Linked DNA regions of Arabidopsis thaliana. The protein of the gene in region 4 interacts with the protein of the main gene of each other region in a pairwise test. Each region holds a gene or a part of one and is shown on either strand. Other genes may lie near its edges.

What was found.
Region 1: the proteins of MAP70-5 (region 4) and AT5G05190 interact in a two-hybrid assay, tested with the Arabidopsis thaliana proteins (one large-scale study listed by BioGRID).
Region 2: the proteins of MAP70-5 (region 4) and AT1G15200 interact in a two-hybrid assay, tested with the Arabidopsis thaliana proteins (one large-scale study listed by BioGRID).
Region 3: the proteins of MAP70-5 (region 4) and AT1G03140 interact in a two-hybrid assay, tested with the Arabidopsis thaliana proteins (one large-scale study listed by BioGRID).

What each region holds. Positions count from the first base shown.
Region 1 is NC_003076.8:1,539,352-1,544,685, reverse strand, and holds AT5G05190 (hypothetical protein (DUF3133)), read right to left. Parts: upstream 3,469-5,334; 5' UTR 2,834-3,468; coding exon 2,713-2,833; intron 2,538-2,712; coding exon 811-2,537; 3' UTR 549-810; downstream 1-548. Other genes in the region: AT5G05200 (Protein kinase superfamily protein), read left to right, coding at 43-159, 298-480. UniProt on the Arabidopsis thaliana protein: Plays a negative role in salicylic acid (SA)-mediated resistance to powdery mildew (e.g. Golovinomyces cichoracearum). May modulate plant immunity by regulating the relocation of EDR1 by interacting with CHC2 and modulating endocytosis.
Region 2 is NC_003070.9:5,227,759-5,233,111, forward strand, and holds AT1G15200 (protein-protein interaction regulator family protein), read right to left. Parts: upstream 3,427-5,353; 5' UTR 3,260-3,426; coding exon 3,182-3,259; intron 3,103-3,181; coding exon 3,007-3,102; intron 2,931-3,006; coding exon 2,865-2,930; intron 2,784-2,864; coding exon 2,616-2,783; intron 2,531-2,615; coding exon 2,414-2,530; intron 2,293-2,413; coding exon 2,221-2,292; intron 1,872-2,220; coding exon 1,788-1,871; intron 1,689-1,787; coding exon 1,588-1,688; intron 1,511-1,587; coding exon 1,370-1,510; intron 1,294-1,369; coding exon 1,209-1,293; intron 1,124-1,208; coding exon 719-1,123; 3' UTR 542-718; downstream 1-541. Other genes in the region: AT1G15190 (Fasciclin-like arabinogalactan family protein), read left to right, coding at 1-263; ABCG35 (pleiotropic drug resistance 7), read right to left, coding at 3,794-4,721, 4,810-5,353.
Region 3 is NC_003070.9:753,761-758,185, forward strand, and holds AT1G03140 (splicing factor Prp18 family protein), read right to left. Parts: upstream 2,544-4,425; 5' UTR 2,464-2,543; coding exon 1,621-2,463; intron 1,131-1,620; coding exon 711-1,130; 3' UTR 501-710; downstream 1-500. Other genes in the region: PSAD-2 (photosystem I subunit D-2), read right to left, coding at 1-382; AT1G03150 (Acyl-CoA N-acyltransferases (NAT) superfamily protein), read left to right, coding at 2,701-2,778, 2,885-2,975, 3,794-3,926, 4,177-4,246.
Region 4 is NC_003075.7:9,656,143-9,661,513, forward strand, and holds MAP70-5 (microtubule-associated proteins 70-5), read right to left. Parts: upstream 3,435-5,371; 5' UTR 3,264-3,434; coding exon 3,203-3,263; intron 3,107-3,202; coding exon 3,021-3,106; intron 2,865-3,020; coding exon 2,799-2,864; intron 2,700-2,798; coding exon 2,529-2,699; intron 2,445-2,528; coding exon 2,118-2,444; intron 2,036-2,117; coding exon 1,889-2,035; intron 1,797-1,888; coding exon 1,725-1,796; intron 1,657-1,724; coding exon 1,225-1,656; intron 1,150-1,224; coding exon 998-1,149; intron 894-997; coding exon 866-893; 3' UTR 510-865; downstream 1-509. Other genes in the region: AT4G17215 (Pollen Ole e 1 allergen and extensin family protein), read left to right, coding at 6-283; SCL13 (SCARECROW-like 13), read right to left, coding at 5,076-5,371. UniProt on the Arabidopsis thaliana protein: Plant-specific protein that interact with microtubules and regulates microtubule dynamics. May play a role in anisotropic cell expansion and organ growth.

The DNA.
Region 1 (5,334 bases), on a different chromosome or scaffold from region 4:
CTTTGGCTAATCTTATAGAGAAAAGTGAATCTCTTCTTGCAGGAACTAGATACAGAGATAGTAGTGGCTACAGCTCGTGGAACAAATTCAGACACTACTGCTGTTGCTGCTAACGTAGTTATGGATGAGAGACAGATGAATGCTCTTTTCCTCGACCTGGTAAGCAGTTAGACGTAATTTCTTAAGGATTTTTTTTTGGTTTGAAAGTTGTTAAGAGGATATAGAAGTTGCATTGAGTTAAGATAAACCCCAGGATTTGAGCTTTCAGCAGTTGAAAATAAGTTCACTTTCTTATAGGTGCGTGTTAGCGAATCATATGGTCTTAAGTTCCCGAGAGAGTTTGCACTTCTGTTGAAGCAACTTCTGTACTTCGATCGATACACAAGACTATTAGCCCCAAACCTGAACATGCTGCAGGATCAGCGGATCTCTATCGCGTCCAACAAGAGGACGAATGGATACAAGGACAGCTTCAACTAAGTTTATGCAAATATACTTCACTAAACCTATTCAAACTTTTTATTTATTTACAAGTGGTAATGTTATAGTAGATTATCAAGCCAAGAACGATGATGAATTCAATCTTGTTACAAACATATCATGACTATATACAACAGATGAACTATATCTTCTTCTATTTTTTTGTATAATTTTTCACAAGTGTCATGGTTTCTACTTTAAACAAAAGTGCAGAGACAAATCTTTTACCTATACACAGAAGTGAAATAAAGAATGGCAAACAATGGCAAAACTTTCCATCTCAGATTCTCAGAAGTTCATAGTTCTCGTTGCTTCATCTGAAGCAGAGATCTATATAGAAGGAGGACGCTGTGAAACTTTAAAGACTTGGCTTACAGTAGAATATCCCATTAGTCGGTGAAGCGGAGAGCCTCTAGCCACAGGTAGCTCCTCATCCTGAACAGAGGATCTCAGCTTTTCAGGTTTGGAGGGAGCTTTGTCTATGGGAGACTCTGATGTTGAATTGCTATTCCTATTAGCATTTATGTCATGTGTTACTGCAGGAACTAAATGATTTCTGGACTGAAGTGAGAATCTGAGAACAGTGGTGCAAGTGCCGCATCTGAGAAGATGATGTTTCCTCTTGAAAATGAGAAAGTCTACAGGAAGCTGCAGGTTTTCTGAGCAACTGTAACAGCTAACAAAAGGTGCCCCACCAGCTGTTGGACGGACATGACGCTTGGCCACACGTTGTCTCTCTCTTAGACGACGGGTCTGTAACTCATGGTGGTGGCCAGCATGTCTATTACGCTGATGATCCTCCACGTCTGAGACTATCTCACGCCTCCATCTCGGATGATACTCAGGTTGTTCCATTGGTCTCTGTGGACTTGCAGAATATGAACTGTAAGAATTATGAAGCTGACCTGAATACCAACCGCCATGGTTTCTTCCCATTTCACCTGAGATCCTACTTCCTTGGCCCTGACCTCTTGCCCTTGGGTTGTTGTGATACATATAGTCAACAAAATCGTGGTTCATGCCTCCAGCGTATGAAGGCATTTGAAGTGAGTGTGCACGGGGATAGCGATCAAACTCATCATGTGACGGATGGGAAGGGCTTCCACGTGTGTATGATTCTCTCGGATAGAAAGGCATGTCAGGCCGAAGTTGTTCTGTCACATGTCTCCTCCCTTGTCTGCCAAGGCGCCCTCCTGGTCCCTCTAGCTGTAGAGACCTGTTCTGATGCCGCTCGTTGTATGTGGTAATCCCATTGCGCCTATTCTCAGAGAAAGGGGAGGAGGAACTAGCGCCTTGCTCCTTATACCCAGGGTATCTATGCATCTCAAATTTGCCTGATCTTATTTTCTGAAGAGCATTCCATTGTTCGTCATCATCGAGAAGTTGGCCTTCCCTTTCGTCAGAGGAAGACTCACTCCCATCATAAGCAGAAGAAGTCTTGTTTGCAGGATAATCAAGTTGGCTTTGCTTCTCTTCAACAGGGGAAGCATCAGGTGAGATCTCAGCATTGCCAGATGAATTACTCGCTCTTGCAGCCACCACATCATAAGCAGAAGGAGTCTTGTTTGCAAGAATGTCAAGTTGGCTTTGCTTCTCTTCTACGGGGGAAGCATCCGGTGAAATCTCAGAGTTACCGGATGGATTACTCGCTCTTGCAGCCACCACATGATCAACGCTCAAGCTTCCAGAGCTAGATCCAGATCCTGCAGCTTCTGCTACGGTGTTCATCATATGAGACTCCAATCTGGAGTTGTCTTCTCTTTCATTCTTCTCAGAATCACCAAGTGAACATTCCTGCTCTTGAATTTCATTTGTCCCATCTCCATTAGATAACTCTAAGTCATCAAGCTCCTTCTCCGTAGACTCCATGGATGCATTCCTACCTTTCTCATACTCTTGGTCCACGGAACGACCTGGAGATGACGGCAGAACCGTGTCCTGCCCCGAGCTGCTGGACACATTGTTGGTTTCAGGTACGCTTTGCGGCTCATTGGCTTGAGCCCTCTCTGTCTCTCCTGCACTTGGTGTACTGCTTGGAGCAATGTTCCGCCTTTTCGCTGAATCAAAGAAGCAACAACCAAATTTAATAATGAAAGAGATCATGCCACAAAACACAACTGGTTTGAGCTCAGACATCCAAACAGATGGACAACCAGGAGTAGAACAAAGCCAGATTCAGGGACAGAGTTCACATTATAATCAGAGGCAAAATCGAAATGGAAAGAAAGTTACCTTGAAGAATGGCGGAACAACCACCGCACTGATAAACAGGAACATCTTCGTCTTCCTGTAGAATCTTCAAGCACTTGGGACACCTCACCAACCGAATTTTCTGACCCGTCTGGCTCGCCATTGTTGGTACCAAATTTCAAAGACTTAACTCTACTTTTGTTATTTTTGGGTTATAACTCTACCTCATTAGTTAGAGAATCATCATCAACAGAACCCAGAACCCTAATAAACAGAGAGAGAGAGAGGAACCAAAGTAAAAGATTGAAACTTTGTGAAGTTCTTTAAAAGAAAATGGGAGAGGAGACCAGAGGAAGAAGGTCAACGCGGTGTGACTTTTAAGGAGGAGAAATGGTATAACCCGGGTCTGGTCTGAGAGCTGGTTACGGATCCGGGTAGAGATGAAAAATGGCGAGAAGGAAAAGATTACATGATTCAAGAAGCCATGAAAATTGTGTAAGATCCTCCACAGAAGAATCAAAGTAAAACTCTTTGCAGAGAGTTATTATAACTCGAGGGATTGTGGAAGAATAAACCCAGAAGTTGAAGATTTTATAGAGAGAGAGAGAAAGAATGAGATAGAAATAGAGAGGAGAATTTCTTGTCGTGGGGGCGAAGTAGAAGAAGAAGAAGAAGAATTGAGAGAACAGAGACAAAAAAACAAAAACAAATCGTTGGACAGACAGTTTTTTTTTTTTTTTTACTATGGTTTCTCTCTTTTCTTGTTTTTTTCCTCTGAGAAAAGTCTCTCTTTTTCCGTGTCTAAAAAGTTTTTTCTTTTTAATATCTCTTTGAGGAATTTTTTGGTATCTTTTTTCATTCTTGCAAGTCAATTAGAACATCAACGACTCGTTCTCTAATCACTATTCTTTCTTAAACAAAACCCAGTCTGTTGTTGATCTTTTCAATAAACAATATTGGCCCAATTTTTTTCTAAAGAAAGCATCTGCAACAGAGCTTTGTTAGAAGAATTAAGTAGAGGAAGATAAGAGAAAGAGTAAATTGGGTTCAGCTAAATAAAAATTTGGATAAAGAGTTATAAATGGAATGGTGTTGTTAATGTCGGCGCCTGTTTCATTTATTTTGGATAGAGAAATTTTAGCCCCACTACTACTTCCATTTTTCTCATTTATTGATCCCAGTCCTTTTTTTCTTACTTTTTACCATTACCTTCTTAAATATTTCCTAACATTCGAAGTTTGAATATTCCGGTAAATGACTAAATGTTGCCAAGGGAAATTAAATTACCGTGAATGTTGAAATGAATTGGGTTCCACATATTTATTTCTAGGACCTGACAAAAAGCATAATGATCATATGTTTTTCGTATATATATTTATATCACTGGTCGAATTTAACGAACTTTTCATTTTTCTAATGAGAATTCACTAGCCGTGTGAGTGTTTTCAATCACTTTTATTTATAACCAGACAAGTTGAGTCTTTGGTTCATAACCTTTTTAGGTATGAAACCAGTTTTCAAATATAGCACCTACAAAGAATTTGAAATTGATAGCAACGTAACAAAATATTAATCTTCAAATTGGTTCATAAAGTTTTAGGGAACTTGTGAGAAATAAATGAATAAAAGTTTTGTAGGGCTATCTCAAGTCAAATAGTATATATTAAGTATTAACGTACATGTATATCACATTATTTTTTAACGATATGAAAAAAAACTAAGGTAATGGTCGACAGACTCGGTCTTTTATCGTTTTGTGCTGTCTAGTTTCTCTACTTTCTAGATTATCGTTTTGGCTTTGTGATTCTGTAAAAGTCAACCTTTGTTGTGGTGTCCTATTTCTTTGTAGACTTAATTAGAGGTTGCTTCAATATTTGTTTTCTCTGCACAATCCAATGACTAACGGGATACGATTCACAAAACGAATCAAATCAAATCAAGTTCAATACCATTCGAGTCTTCTTCTTCACAGATTACAAATTCGATTATGCGTTGACTCTTTAATTGAGTCAATGGTTTGGACCACTACATGGTTTGTAAATGTTTATTTCTATTTCAAATCGCTAGCTGTTACCTAACATTCAGGACATGAACAAAAACTATCTTACTAAAAAAAAGTCAAAATTAAAGTTTCAAATGTATAAAAGATAATATTGGAGGTCAACTCCCATTTGACAACATTCATATATAGTTATAAATTGATTTTGTTTTTCTATTTACTGTGTTCCCATGATGTTTCGTGAACACATGAAGTTATGGTATTGAATAGAATGGATTTTCTTTTAGTTTTTGGTTTATTCTACAGAACAAGCTCTTGAAATAACTAAAAAATTCACTAACTAAAAACTTGTGATATATACCATGCTGGTTATATTCGCACAACGATTGCAATCATAATTGGCTACTATAGACGATTTAATTGATAAGAATATTCAATTATTCTACCTATGCTTTGGAGAGTCTATTTCTTTTTACTTGAAAATTTCCGATTATAAATAAAGATAGACACCTCAAAGCAAAAAACTATTCTTTTACACCTGAAATTCTTTAATACATGTCTTTAATTAATAATAGATTCCATATGAAAGAATTAAAGAAAGAAAAAGGGCCCATAGTAACGTTTTCTTTAGCTATCTTTTAAGATTGATAATTGATAAATTTGTT
Region 2 (5,353 bases), on a different chromosome or scaffold from region 4:
TCGCCGATCTTCTTCCCCTCACTGCTCCTTCATCCCCCAATCGTCTCGTGGAAGATTCGACGGCACTGGCAAAGTCACCATGGTTTTTAGGTTCAAGATTTTCACCGGCACCAGAGCCTTACTTCGCCTTTATGGATCTTTCACCAGCAGAATCGCCGAGTGTTGAGGAAGTTTCACCATCGCCGTCGTGGGGAGAAGGAGAAGAAGATTTCATCGTAGGCGATGAAGGAGGTCCGTTAGATGGGAGGAATAACGGCTTTTGATGTACACGTGTCGAAATCTCTGTAAAACACCTAGCACGTGTCTTTGACTCTTTGTAAAGTCAAAAGAGTCCTTTCTTCTTCTTTTTTTGGTCAAAAGAGTCCTTTGTTTTTCTTTTTTTGCAAAAAGAGTCCTTCCTTTTGTAGTGAAATTTGAAATGTAACCTCCGGAATTTCTTAATGCAGATTGATTCTGAACCGAATTTAACCGACTTATACCAAATACAATCTTTCAATGAATATGCCAGTGAAGAGACATCTGTCGAGCAAGCGGCAGTAGCCGATGCATGAAAGCTGAGGCTACTACACTAGCAGATAAACAAAACAAATTATATAGCACAAAGGCAAATCTTTCCTAGAAATTACCATAATTCACGTTACAACGCTCCAAAATAGATTTGACCAGTTTTCTAACTCGCAAACTCCACCAAATTTCAAGAACAAACAAACTATATGACTTAGAGAACCTCATGTTTAATATCTTCCTCCACTGCTTCTGCTTTAACTGTATCAGTTGCCACTTCCTCCTTGATGGTTCCATCTCCTCCCTCCTCCAGTAAATCATCCATTATCATTTCATCCTCTCCACCATTGATATCCTCTACTTCATCTTCTTCATCTTCATCTCCTACTCCTCCTCCAGGTATCTTTCTCTTCTTTGGCCCATGCTCCATCCTATGAGTCTCTAATTCCTTGTCCATCGTTTCCTGCAAATTCATACCCTCGTTGTTTGCTTTCCTTGCCTTCCTTGCGTTTTGCCACCTCTCCAGCTCTTTCTCAACATTACCCAGACACTGCTCTTCTATCTCCTTTTGATACTCACTCACTTCTTGTCTCCTTGCTGCCTTCCATTCTAAGAATGTCTGCATCAACACAAAACCAGTCACATCAAATATCCCATAGCATGCATGTCAAAACTTTCTTCATTTACAAACTACAACACCTTACCCGCTCTTTCTGTTGTTCTACCTCACTTGTATCTTCTTCCAAAGGCTTCACTGGTGCATAGTATATCCGTGGCTCTGCTTTAGTCCTGAAACACCCGTCCACATGCAAATCAAATTAAATAAGTTTTGACAGAAACCTTTATATCAGCTACCAATTTCTACCTATAGCACCAAACATTGCCTTTGTATGCACGTGAATGGAAACTTATCTTTGCCTCTATAAAATTGTCAATATGCACACTTTTTGGACCGAAATAAAAAATAACCTGCAAATGAAATACATAGCAGTTAGCAATCTCATCACTGAGACTCATCATGCAGAGTAAGTAAGGGTACGCTATAGAACTAAATCACACGCAGTAACAGCATGTCAACACTACCTTATAAAATTGCTAAGTTTCTTTTGGTGCTCACTCCATTGAAGGAAAAGCAATTCCAATTTCTTTTGTTCTGCTTTAGCAGCAACACGAGCCCGAAGAGTCTGATTGACCAGTTAAATTGAGTATATCAGATCTTTACTACACAAGACTGCCATTTGGAATGGTATGCAAAGAGAAAAAAACTTAAGCTGGCCACTTACAAGATCTCTTCTCCTCTTTTCAGTCAAATTTTCACGCTCCTGCAGCCTCAGTCGTTCACTTTCTTCACGAGCCTTTTCCTCCGCCTATAAGAGTAGGAGGGATACAATGAACAAACACTGCTAATGCATTGTAGTACTAAAGATGATGCTAAGGAATAAACGCACTCCTAACTGGACATATAATGATACCTATACCTATACCCAATTCCAATATAGACACCCATATCTAGAGAGATTTAGGCTTCCCTACAACGCTACTTAAGCCAAAAGAAACTGAAGGAAAATGCTGTCTTAGTTTAAAGTACAAAAATGTACAAAAGAAACTGAAGGAAGATGAAGATTATCAATTCAAGTACAAAAATATGGCGTTTCCCTTAAAAAAACAGTAACAAGCTTCATAAAATATCTCCAAGTGAATATGGTGTGTGCTTACCCTTTGTAGAGCTGCAGTTCGTCGGGCGTATGCATCTGTTCCAGAACGCTGCTTATCTTCTTTTCTGAACTTCTGCAAAAATAAAGAGTGAGAAGTGAGAATACAATAAATTGAATAAAGAATGAAAAATCTAACTGAACATGAATCAAGCTAATCCATGAGACAAGAGGTTCATGTGAATCTCAGCAAATACCTCCAAAGTCCCTAGAAGATTCCCTAGCATTCTTCTGTTCCTATTAACCAGTTTAGGATCCTCATTCTTAGGTAAAACCCTTGGTGCAGGCTCCGGCAATGCAAAAGCTTCGTAACGCTGATAAGAGCAAAATAACAACAACCACTGAGTAAACAGTCGCTTCGTTCTCATAAAAAGGATTTATGGGAGGAATTTGATTTACCTTATTGGTCCGTCGTTGTTCTGCATCTCTCTGGGACCAACTTCCACGATGAAGACCAGATTGCTTCTTGTCACTTTGATCAGAAGTCCCATTCTCACCAACTTTAACCTGGGTTCCATTACCATCAACTGGAAATTCTCCATCTTTACTAACATCTTCACCGTCGACCTAAAGTATCCCGTTAAAGTTAAGTAACCACTTCGTTCGATCTATCAATGAGAATGCAATTACTTTCCGAACACAAATTACCTTAACAACGGCGGAAGACAATCTCCTTTTAGCAGGAGGCTCGTCTTCTACGTCATTCCTCTCCGCCTTCAAAAACACACAATATCCAATAATCAATTACCGCAATCTGTTTCATCTCAAAGGAGAGATAGAGAAGACTTACAGGTCGAGGAAAGCCTCTACGGCCTTGGTTGCGAGGAGCGACGTTTGAGAAGCCTCCACGGCGGAGTCCACGAGGGTCACGAAGCCTCTCCGTAATCTGAACAGGATAGAGAATTAAACAATCGCCGTCAACAGAGATTTGTAAAGTGAGAATGAGATTGAGGTGGAGATAGTACCTCACGCTGTTGACGGTGAAGCTCATCGATCTCATGCCGTAGCTCTTCCGCTGTCTTCTCCAAGGCGGTGTCTCCCATCGTCGCCGTTGCTCAGAAATTTTGCTCGAAACCCTTAGAAGAAGAAACCAAATCTTTTTGTTTATGGGCTTTAAAAGGCTTTTACTTCACTATCCGTCCAACATAACTTCACAAAAGCCACTATGAGAAGAAACCAAAAATCTTAGTTATTAATTGATATAAAATTTAATTTTAATGCAAATTTTCTGAAATTCTATAAATGTTTCTTATATGAAATTTTTTCTTTCAATATTTGAGTTTAAATCAAAAAAATATAAGATAAGAAAATATAATGTGGAAGAAAAACCTAGGTTGCATGAAATCGAAATCACGTGTGTGGAAGCGATTTTTCTAAAAAAAGTTTCATTATAACATTCAAAGTACTACTTCTTCTCTGTTTTTGAGTTGCAACTTTTATTTCTAAATAGGTTCTTCTTGATGAATAATTTTTACATTACAACAAAAATAAACTCACATTAAGAGAAGAAAAGAAAAAAAGAGGAAGCAAAGCTTTATTGCAAGAAATGTTTCACAAGAAAACAGAGTGTATAGTGGTTATCTAGACTGGAAGTTGAGAGTCTTGATGCAAAATGCGAAGATGAAGGCAAAAAAGACAGTGAAGCCAACTAGTACTCCGGCCACAGGTCCCATGTAGTCTGATTCAAAACCATATTGATCTTTAATGTACTGTTTAACAGTGAGGCCAGGTGCACCACCAAGGAGAGCGATGGGAGTCTCAACGTCACCGTATTGAGAAGTGATCAAACCGTATATGGTCCAAGCAACAGGGCAGATCCAGTAATACCAAACCCACCACTTTGGAATTTTGGGTCTAGGGATGAAAAATCCAGAGAAGAGGTTAAAGATACCATAAAAGGCTGATGCAAAGATAGAAGCTACTTGTTGGTTAGGTGTGAGGGAAACTGTCATCATGCCGTAGTAGGTCCAGTAGAGGAAGGAGAAGTAATTGATGAAGATAAACCACAAGAACTTGGAAGCTTTCCACTCGAATCCAACCATAGAGTAGATGATAAGAGAATAGTACGTGGTCTGAATCAAGACATAAGGTAGTTCACAAGTCACCTGGGAGATAGCATAAGGTATAGCTGAGTACATCCCAGCAGCTTTTTCTCTGTAGAACACTGTTCTTTCCACTGCCACCATTGGTTGTACTGTTGAGCAGTTGTTTATACCAACGAATACAACTGCTGCGTAGATTGCTCCGATCACCATCGTTAGATCTTGTACGTTTGATCTCTTACCTCCGATTTGCCAGAAGACAGAGCCGATCATGAGAGATGTTGCCAATGTGAAGATGAACCTGACAAGGTTGTAGTCAGGAGATCTCCAATAAGTCCACCACTGCTTCCATAGACATGATTTGAATTGTCCCCATGTGTTCTGTGAAAACTGTGTGGCAAAGTAGAGATCAGTCGCTCCTTGGGGAGGCACGCTTAGTTCTTGCACCAGCGCCTTGTTCCGCCTGAGACAGAACCATTCATATGTTAATTAGTTAGATCAAGTATCATCATCACATCATTAGCAAATATATTTTTGTTGTGTTCACTTACTGGCATAAGGCTGAAGCCTTATATAGCTCAGCAAAGTCAACTCCAAGCTTTAACTCGGCCGCAAGGGAGCTAGCTTCCAGCATCCAAGTGGCCGGGTTGTATTTTTCCGGAATCTTTGGCACTCCAGGGAAGGATTCAAAGTACTCAACAACCTTGTGAGAGTTTCGGCCTAAGGGACCAGAGTAGATCACATGTCCTCCTCTCTTCATTAGTAGTAGTTCGTCAAAGGCCTCAAAGATATCAATGCTCGGTTGGTGGATGGTGCACACAACAGTTCTCCCTGTGTCCACTGTGTTTCTCACAGCTCTCATAACAATAGCAGCTGCTCTAGCATCCAACCCTGAAGTTGGCTCGTCCATGAAGATGATTGAAGGGTTAGCTACAAGCTCAACAGCGATTGTTAATCTCTTTCTCTGTTCCGTGGAAAGCCCTGTGACCCCCGGTAAACCAACAATTGCATCTCTCAGATCCACCAACTCCACTAACTCCATAACTTGATCCACAAACATCAATTTATCCTCTTTGCTTACTTCCTTAGCAAGGC
Region 3 (4,425 bases), on a different chromosome or scaffold from region 4:
TCCTCGCCAGTTTCAATAGATTCGGTCCTTCTCTCATTATCGCAGCTCCTCCTGTTGGCATCTCAAAGATTTGTTCTTTCGGTGAGTTCCATGTGATCACGTAAAATTCCTCTACTTGTGCTTTACGGAGGAGACCTCCTGTGCTTCCGGCGAAGATTGGTGATGGTGTGTTTGGGTCTAGCTGCGGGGGAGTGAATCCAACTGGAGCTTCTTTCACGGCTGGGGCAGCAGAGGAGGACTCTGTTTTCTCGGCGCGGATGGCGGTTTTGGTGAAGGAGAGAGACTTGGGACGGTGGCTTGATGAGAAGAGGTGGAGTTTCTTGACGGCGGAAGTAGTGGTTGTTATGGCGGGGCTGAAGATTCCGGCGGCTTGAGTTGCCATAGTTTCTTCTGTTTTCTCTGAATCTTTCTCTGTGGAGTAAATGGATAGAGATGAAATGGCTTAATAGAATCTGACAACGAGAGGGTAGATGAGAATCGAACATTTTGGGATAAGGTGATCATACCATTTGGACCAATAAGGTTCCAAGATTCGATTCTCCTCTTACCCTTACTAGATCTTTAGGCCATGTCGTTTTATGAGTTTGGATATGTTTCCCACATGCCACATAAGACTAGACAATCAGGTCAACGTTTTAAATAGACGATAATACAGAGTCAACGTTTTGATACAAAAATAAAAACACAACAAAGCAGAAAACACAGTAAGACTAGCTTTCGCTCTGAGAAGGCATGAGCCGGAGTCTCTCCTCTGAGACCTGTTCACGATTACCACCAAAGAATCTCTCTTCGGCTAGCAAAGACTGTAAGTCGCTTCCGTTGGCTAAGCTATTGAACTCAACGGCTTTAGAAGGCATAGTTGGATAACGTCTTTGACAGAAAGTCATCAGTCTTTTAACTGACTGAAGATACTTGCGAGTGGTTTCATCGTTCATGATGTGAGCAACACTGTTGGTGTAAATCTTCTCTCGAGCTGAACGTTCGTGAATACCAACCATAGTCACTCCAATAGGCCATGGCGCGTTCCCGATAGCTAGTTTGATGTAGTGGTCCATTGCAGCAAGGTAGTCTCGCTTTATGCAGTGGTTAACCATCACCATTAAAGCTTGACGAATGTCAGCTGGTAAACCCTGCAATTTTAAGCCATAACTAGAAAGATCAAGTTCACGAAACCTCATAAAATTTCAGTGTAAGAAAGTATACATTCTTAACACTTATAAGACAAAGACAGAAAGAGAGAAACTTTTTCTGCATTCAACATTCCAGCCTATTTTTCTTCAGCTAAATGGAGATAACTAACAGAGGCCTCAATGGCAAATTCAAGGTGCATACAGATTCCAACTTGCTATTCTACGTTCTCATTGTCTACCTAGCACTAGAACTTATTAGAAAACTCGTCCTTGTCGCCATATAATCAAAAGTACACAAACTAATGGAACCTAAACACTGCACATTGGTCTTCCTACCCAAACTATGCTTAATAAACATAGTTCTCTAAGCTTATTAGATAGAACTGAGATAATCTATCTCCAATTTCATAAACAGAGATAATCTCCCTAACAATTTTCTTGCCAAACAATGATTTACACCTAATTAACAATCGAAAGCAAGAATCTTTACCTTCTTCCTGCATAAGTTGAAGAGAGGAACTAGATACCTAGCACACTGCTTAAAAGTGGCTACCATCTGTTTCCCTTTTGCAGTTCTCCTCTCAGTGTTCTCCATCGCATCAAGCTCCTGTTTCCATTCAATCAACAGCTTCTTATAAAACACAAGGATCTTATCCTCATCGCATAGATCCTCAAAGTTAGCTTTCAAACGTTTCATATCTTTATCAGCATCAACATCACTCGATTCACCACCACTAAGTTCATCTTCCCTTGTTTCACCTCTATCACCTTCGTCTCTTCCTCTCTCATCTCTACTCTTCCTCTTCCTATCTCCCATCATACCACTCTTCTGCCTCTTCTTAAGCTCTGCGATGTCACGCAAGAAATCATTCGTCTGTCCTTCAGTCATATCACTATCAACCTCGAACAATCCTTCCTTCAAAACGTACTTGAGTCGATCGAGCCGCGATTGATCATCTTCTCCGAAGAGAGTCATCGGCTGCTTAAGGAATCTCAAACGACGAATCACTTCCTGCCTCGGGAGAATTAGGTTTTCGTCGGTTAGGGCTTTTGAATCGGCGATAGCAGCAGCGTCCGATGCAGAGGATTTGGAAGACGCAGACGTAGCTGCGTTAGAAGAACCAGGAGCAGAGCCGGATGATTTTCCATCTCCACCGGAAGCGGCGGCGGCGGCTCTCCGCTGAGCCTTAAGCTCGTGCTCGCGTCGTTCTTCCTCTCGAAGCTTCTGGATTTTCTTCTGCTCGATCTCAGACCGCTTGAAGAACTTCTTACCACCAGATTCCTCAGCTAGACTCTTACGTTTCTTCAGAATCTCTTCCCTGAGCAGATCCATCGGAAAGGTTTCTTCAATCGCCGCCGAGGATTTGGTTCTGTTGTCTGAGAAGGTCGCGACGACGGGAGATAATGAAATTTGATCATCTTTTACATGACGTCATCAGTGTTATAGGCCCAAATATAAATGGGCTTTATTAATTTTCTAACTGGGCCATGTATATTGCTTTGTTGTTGTCTCCTCTTTCTTTTTCCAGAGAATCTGACGAAGCTCGAAGGGATTTGAGAAAAAGAAGAGATGACGACGATACGTAGATTCAGCTGCAATGACCTTCTCCGATTCACTTCCGTGAATCTGGACCACCTCACTGAAACAGTAATCTCGTGTTTCTTCTTCTTATTATCTGGTTTCGTCTGATTATTGCTTTGTTTTGCTATGGCGATTTTGTTGATTTTTGTTCGAATTTTGTTTCGTGAAACAGTTCAATATGTCCTTCTACATGACCTATTTAGCGAGATGGCCTGACTATTTTCATGTTGCTGAAGGTCCCGGCAATCGTGTCATGGGTTATAGTAAGTAATCCTCTTGTTCTCTTCGTTTTGATTTCTTTATGTCTTCGTTGGTTTAGGAATTTGAAATTCGTGGAGATTATGTTTACTTTTAGGGTTGAAACTTAGATGATAAACTGTTAGTGTAAAAGCCACTATTGATTTTTTTTGGTTATCAGATGGAGATAGCTTGAATGTTGTTAAAACCAGGAAGAGTGACTCTGTTTGAAAACTGATTAACACAAACCAGGATGTATAAGTGTTTAAACAAATTCTGCTTGTATTAGTCCTAGTCTCTGTAGTTAGCGGTTTTAGAAATCTTGATATGGGGTAGAAGATGCATAGGAAGCATGGCTTAAGATTGTTTGTGCTAACTTCTAAATGTCCAGAGAATGAGTTATGAGTTATATCAAGGCTCAAATTTTTCTGTCTTTCAGTGTTTGTAGTATAATGATGCTATACCTTATTGGATTGGTTCGAAATGTGATTTATACAAGGCTTTATCTTTCTTTATTTTCTTCAAGTACGATATATGCTTCATTATTGACGTTCTGTTCTCGTGGTGCCCTATTACTATACCTGTTTTTCTCCCTTTTCGTGGTATAGTTTGGAAAGAGACCTTGGAAGTATAGTGAAACCATTGAAAGAACTGAGAGTAAAACTAAGCTTTTGGATATTAACACATTTGAAAATTAAGCAGTGTCACTGAAATGTTCTTTTGTATAGTTGAAATGTTATGGTTGATATTCTTGAGAATCCAACGTAAGTGACATATGTAAAACTTGTTCTTATAAATATAATTTTAAAAGCATGTGTCTAACTAAGATTCTACATGGTTTCAGTTATGGGTAAAGTTGAAGGACAGGGTGAATCTTGGCATGGTCATGTGACAGCCGTCACTGTCTCTCCAGAATACCGCAGGCAGCAACTTGCAAAGAAACTGATGAACCTTCTGGAAGATATAAGTGATAAGATGTAAGACTTAACAATTACAAAGCATCTCAAGTTTTAGTGTTCTCTTTGATATGGATCGTTATGATATAAAATATGAAAGCCTTAATATATTGATATTGGCTTTCGAGTGGACCATTTATTTATTTGAAAACCGATATATTTAGATTGTTTCAAAGGAAGAAAATCTTGAATTTCTCCTCATTGATTTTATATATTATCTGGTAATTTCTGGTCTTCTAATGATTATTATACTTGTGGTTATTGATTGCAGTGATAAAGCCTACTTTGTGGATCTTTTTGTAAGAGCTTCCAACACACCAGCCATCAAGATGTATGAAAAGGTAATATATTAGGATTATGAAATTGATTAGAAGCCTCATAATGTTGATGACATTGTAGGAAAAAAAGAAGAAGTTGTAAATGGGACATGCACACATTTTACATATTTCCATTTATTAGTGTCAAATCTCCTTCATAGGCTTCTTCTTGATGGCCATTTTGATGAAACAAACCGTTTCTC
Region 4 (5,371 bases):
TACAGGAGCTACTATTGGCTTCAAGTGCCATACTGGACATAGGAGGAGATCTAAATGGATCAAAGCTGTGACAAATGAGTTGGGGCAATTCGTCATCGATCTTCCTTCTCACCTCCACGCGATTCCTGACTTAGACAAGGCTTGTATCATTAAAACACTCTCTGTCCCTAAACCGTATCGATGCTCTTCCAAGATTCACAGAGGTATTCAACTCCTCTCCTCTTCCAACGGCTCTCGTGTCTATACAGCTGGAAATATCACCTTACAAGAGAGCACCATGTAAAAGAGACTGTAAATTAATCTTGCTAGGAAAGATCAGTCCTGACTTTATTTCTATATGGTTCCTTCTCACTTCTTGTGAGAAAGAGAGATAGTCTTTGTAAATCTTGTTCTTCATGCTCTTCTTGTATATAATAAAATTTATGTTTTCTTCAAGCTTGGATCTTCTTGCTACTACAGAGATCATACGATCCTGTAACTGATTATGATATATATATTAGATGCAAAGTTTGTTATGTTAGCCTAACAACCAAGGCAAGACCAAAAAATCTGAGAGAAGACATATATGGTTATGTATGACTTTGAGAGAGAATATGCATGTTTTTGTGTTTAGCTGATTCTGATTTACTTATAGGTTTCCAAGATAATTGCTAACATTCAACTAATTGGTAGGAGAAGAGAGAGGAGTTTTGTGTCATCATCTGGAAACATGGCTTTGCAATCCGATATACATAACACACATACACATCTCTTGATCTTTAGTTTTCACTTTCTTATAATCCATCATCCAATACTCAATATGTACAGTACAACCTAACATTAGACCATATTCTTTAGTATTCAATCCCATAAGCTTCTTCTTCCTCTACTGGCAACGTGGATTGGGTATGCGGCTGCACAACATAGCATAAACATATAAATATCAACTGTCTTGATGTTTGACTATGTATACTTCTCAAAAGACAAAGACAAACAACAAAGGATGTGATGACCAAACCTTCTCGGTAGTTTTGCCTTTCTACATAGTTTTGACTCTTCATTCAACATTGCCAATGCGTTTTCCTTTTCTCTCGCTGCGGCTTCCCTCTTTGCCTTCTTTGTCTCAACTTCAATGGCTTTCGTTAGAGCATCCACCTTCTTCAACAACATCTAAAAACAGAGGTATCTTAAGAGGTTTCATATAGTTGAGGATCTTAAACAACCACAAGAAGATGATGAAGTTACCTTGATTTCTTCATTTTTGGCATTTATAGTACCCTCTTTACTCTCACATAGCTTCCTTAAAGCAATCACTTCCTTCTGAAGCCTGTCATATAAAAACCCTGAAACCATATCTTCAGAATAAACATTTCCATCTTCCTCTGTTTTCCTTTCGCTATCTTCTTCATGTTGATCAGTCAATCCGTTTGCAGTAATCTTTGAATTCTCCATTTCATCACTTTCCCCAACTCTGTCAATTGGCTGATTCATAGCATGGATTCTGCCTGTAACTGAGCCTCTTAGCTGAGAACTAGACCTTTTCTTTGAGCCACCACCACTGGTCAAGAATCCTAAAATCTTGCCAGATTTTTCAGTCTTTGTAGTTGGAGAGACGAAAAACGTGTTTGGGCCCTTCAAGCCATCTTCTATGGTTTTCAGCCTAAGCTTTAACCTCTCCTATAATGTTTACTTGCATTAGAAACTACACTTTTTACCAACAGAATATTAACTACATAAGCAATCACCTTTAGCTGGGACTCAGCCTTAGCGGTTCTCTCGGAAACAGCGAGTTTATCTTTCAATTTCTGCATTTCTCCCTGCACACAGACACAAAGTTCAACACTAATGTTTCCCATATAAGCTAGTCAGTGTGTATTAACTGGATGTGTAAGTGAAAAGCAGTGAGTACATGGAGAATCCTTCTCTCTTCAAGCCATTGCTTTACAGGCATGACTCTATCGTTCTCATCTTTCCACTCGTTAGCAACTGCAAGTGCCACTCTACTTGCTGACACTTTGACTCTGGCTAGCTCTCTCTCTAAGGTTCTCTTCTCATCCTGGTAACGATGAAAAAATCATGTGATTTTCCTTTAAAACAAATGTGAGAATGAAGTACAAGAAACTAAACAGAACACTTGCATTGAGCTGGGAGATTTGGCGGCGATAGTCTCGAACTGCATTGGCGGCTGTTCCTCCTGCCAAGATCGCTTCCTCCAGTTCTACAATGCTTTGGGAGAGCTTCTCAATCTCCAACACTTTCTGGCGGTTAATTTTCTCAAGAAACTTGTTCTCATCCTGGCATATCTCAATCTGTCGTCGAAGTTCAAAGTTATGGTTCTGGACCTCTTCAACAATCAAAGCACGTTCAAGGGCACTTCTCAAGATTCTCTCTGCTTCAAGAAGCGCCGATTCTTTTGATTTTGTTAGACGTTCCAACGCTTTCTTGTCCTCTTGAAGTGCAGAAATCTGTCAAACAGTAGCATGTCAAGAAAATCTGGCACTTCACACTGATACAAGAAAGAAATTTGAAATACATATAGTCTTAAGAACCTCATGCTTGTGAATCTTGATCTGAGATTCAAGAGGAGCTATGATGGATTCTAGGGGTAGAGAGTCATCGTCCTGTTGGTGAGTGTAAACCCTCCTTAGTGCTTCTTCTGCAGCGTCCTGTGCCGCCAATGCATCTTCCTTCTCTTCTTCTAGCTTCTTCCTCTCCAACTCCTACAATCATGTCACAAGCTTAACTTATTCTAGTCATTTCTAATGTTTTGACATGAGTCCTTCACAAAGATGGTCTATAGTATTTGAGCAAAACCTCACCTTTTGGTCAACTTGATTCTCGGTGGCTCCAAGTTTCTCCTCCAACTTCCTCACGTTTTCTCTAAGCTGAAACAACACCAAGTAGCATCAATAGAGCTCAAGAAGCTCAAAAAGGACAGTTTGAATATGGAAAACATTGATCAAAAAAACTTATAGGTAAGATTGACTTAAAGTTTTTGTAGAACAATCACAAACAGAGTTGATGATCATCATGCATGTTACCTCCTTAAAGACTCTGTCTTTGAGCTCTTCATTTGTTCTCAAAGCCTCAACTTCAGCTTTAGCAGCCAAAAGCTCTTTCTCTTTTTCTGCAGAGTGGAATTAAAAGAAAGCAGAACAACCTCAACATCAAGCAAATTACTCATAAGGGTTGATGAACAATAAACAGAAAGAAAAATAAGAACCTTTAAGCTGGCTTTGCAGAGAAGAGGTGTCAGATACAAAAGGGTTTTCTGCTGCAGTCATTTTGTAGTCTCAACGGCTCCTCCTTCTTTGTTGCAGTATAGAAGATGAGTTTTGGTCTAAGCAGAGGAGAAATGGAGTCGTTTAATATATACACACACACTTTCAGAGAGAGAGAGAGGCCATTCCTTAAAGGAATTGACGTTGAAAAAGAGAGAGGGAGAGAGAAAGAGAGAGTTAAAAACTTACTAACTCTTTTTCCTCATTCTCAAGCAACCGTCTCCATTTCAAACCCTTGAGACAGTAACCAACCCTTCCCTCTTCTTCTTTCACTTTCATTACCCATTTACTAAATTCATATTCATCCTCCCTTATCTTTATTTTCAATTCTGAAATGCTTACAAGTTATTGACTTGTTCTGTTTCACTAATTATCTTCTTAGTTACACCGAGCTTGTCCTTAACATTTGGTTCATCATCATAATTACCTCATTCATGTTTTTCATGTTCCAACATTAGTGGTGTAGTTAATATTATTTTAAAGGGACACGGCGTGAAAATACAAAAAATAAAACAGCTACCACAAATGGAAATTAAAATAAAGAGAAGAGAATATAATCCAAAGGAAGTTGGAAGGAGAAGCAGCATATGACAGATATAAAGACACTAATCATAAGGATAAAGATAATTTAAATGATTGAACTAATTTCGTTTGGTGAAAACCCTTTTCTTTCTTTCCTGTTTCTTTATAATAAAAACCTATATTGTATCCCCTTTTTGTCTTTATCGTTTTTGATAAGATTATATGAATGTAGGTAACAACAGATAACAATTATGATAATCTTGAAATAAAACTAAAGCTTAATCATCTTCTAAACATGTATTATCCAAATGATTTTTGTGTTGCAGTTTGATTAATAGAAAGAGTAAGAAAGAAAAGTTGAAAACTTGGAAGAAGGAAAGCAAAGTGTGAAAAGGTGTTGCCTCAGCAATTAATAGCTTAACCGCAAAATATTGCACAAACCAAGCTTTCTTTGTATTAGTGGAAGTCACTCAATATCTCTCTTTGAATTATTAAAAATTAATTGGGATTTTCTCTCTTCTTTGCTTCCAAGTCTTAAGGTTTGGTTATTATTAAATCAAACAATGATAGAGAATTAGACAAAGAACACTTAGCAAGTATAATATAGAATCAACTGAGGTAAATGACCAAATTTGGAGAGAAATTAGGTGAATAACAACAATTAAGTCAATGGCAATATTTTATTTATATGAATATGATTCCCTAACAAAAACTAAAATCATAGATCCAAAATTCTAAACTCTTAACACATAAAAGTAACATGTTAGGGCAAAAAATTACTCTCCTGAATTTTGTTACTGAGTGCAAAATACTCATTAGTATATTGTTATTAAAGGCAATAAAGGAAGCTTGAGCCTTAGAAAAGTAAAGAATAAAATGAAGGCAATGACCTGTACTTGTTCAATCCATGGTTTTGTGGGTTGGTGAGCTCCTTTTTAAGACCTTATCAGAATTCAGAACCCAATCTGACCTGTAGATTTGTCTCATATTTTGTTACCTCACGACCTTTGTTCAGCCGCCAGTTGACTTATACCGGTATATATAGAAGAAGATCATAAAATGACCTAATCAATGTTTTGGTTATATTTCATTACTAGCAACCCACCCACAACCACATGACAATTTACAAGAGAAAAACAACCACCAGGTTTGGTTTGTATACATATATAACTTAGGTTGTGTTACAACTTAAAACATCATTGCACATCCTAAAAAATTTACAGCGACAGATGTGTTTTTGTTGTGCTCTTCTTTATCCACTCAAGTAACCATCATCACTATAACTTACCCAATCTAGTTTGGGTTTGGCTTCCACACGGAACATGTAGCCATGGGTCGTCTCTTCCAGAAGAGGTAGAGCGCTCCTTCATGGCCTCCCAGTTTGTAGTTTTTGTCATAAGCTTTCAGCATCTCACTCGCTGCAAACGCTGCAGATGTGCTGACCGGCCAACCCGTGAACCCAGCCATCATCATTCTGACCCTCCATATCCCCAGTACCTCGTGTCTCTCTACTCTCTCTGACTCCTCACATGCTATCATGTTCACTATGTCTCTTGCTACACAGTGTTGTTCTGCGCTGATTCTCTGCT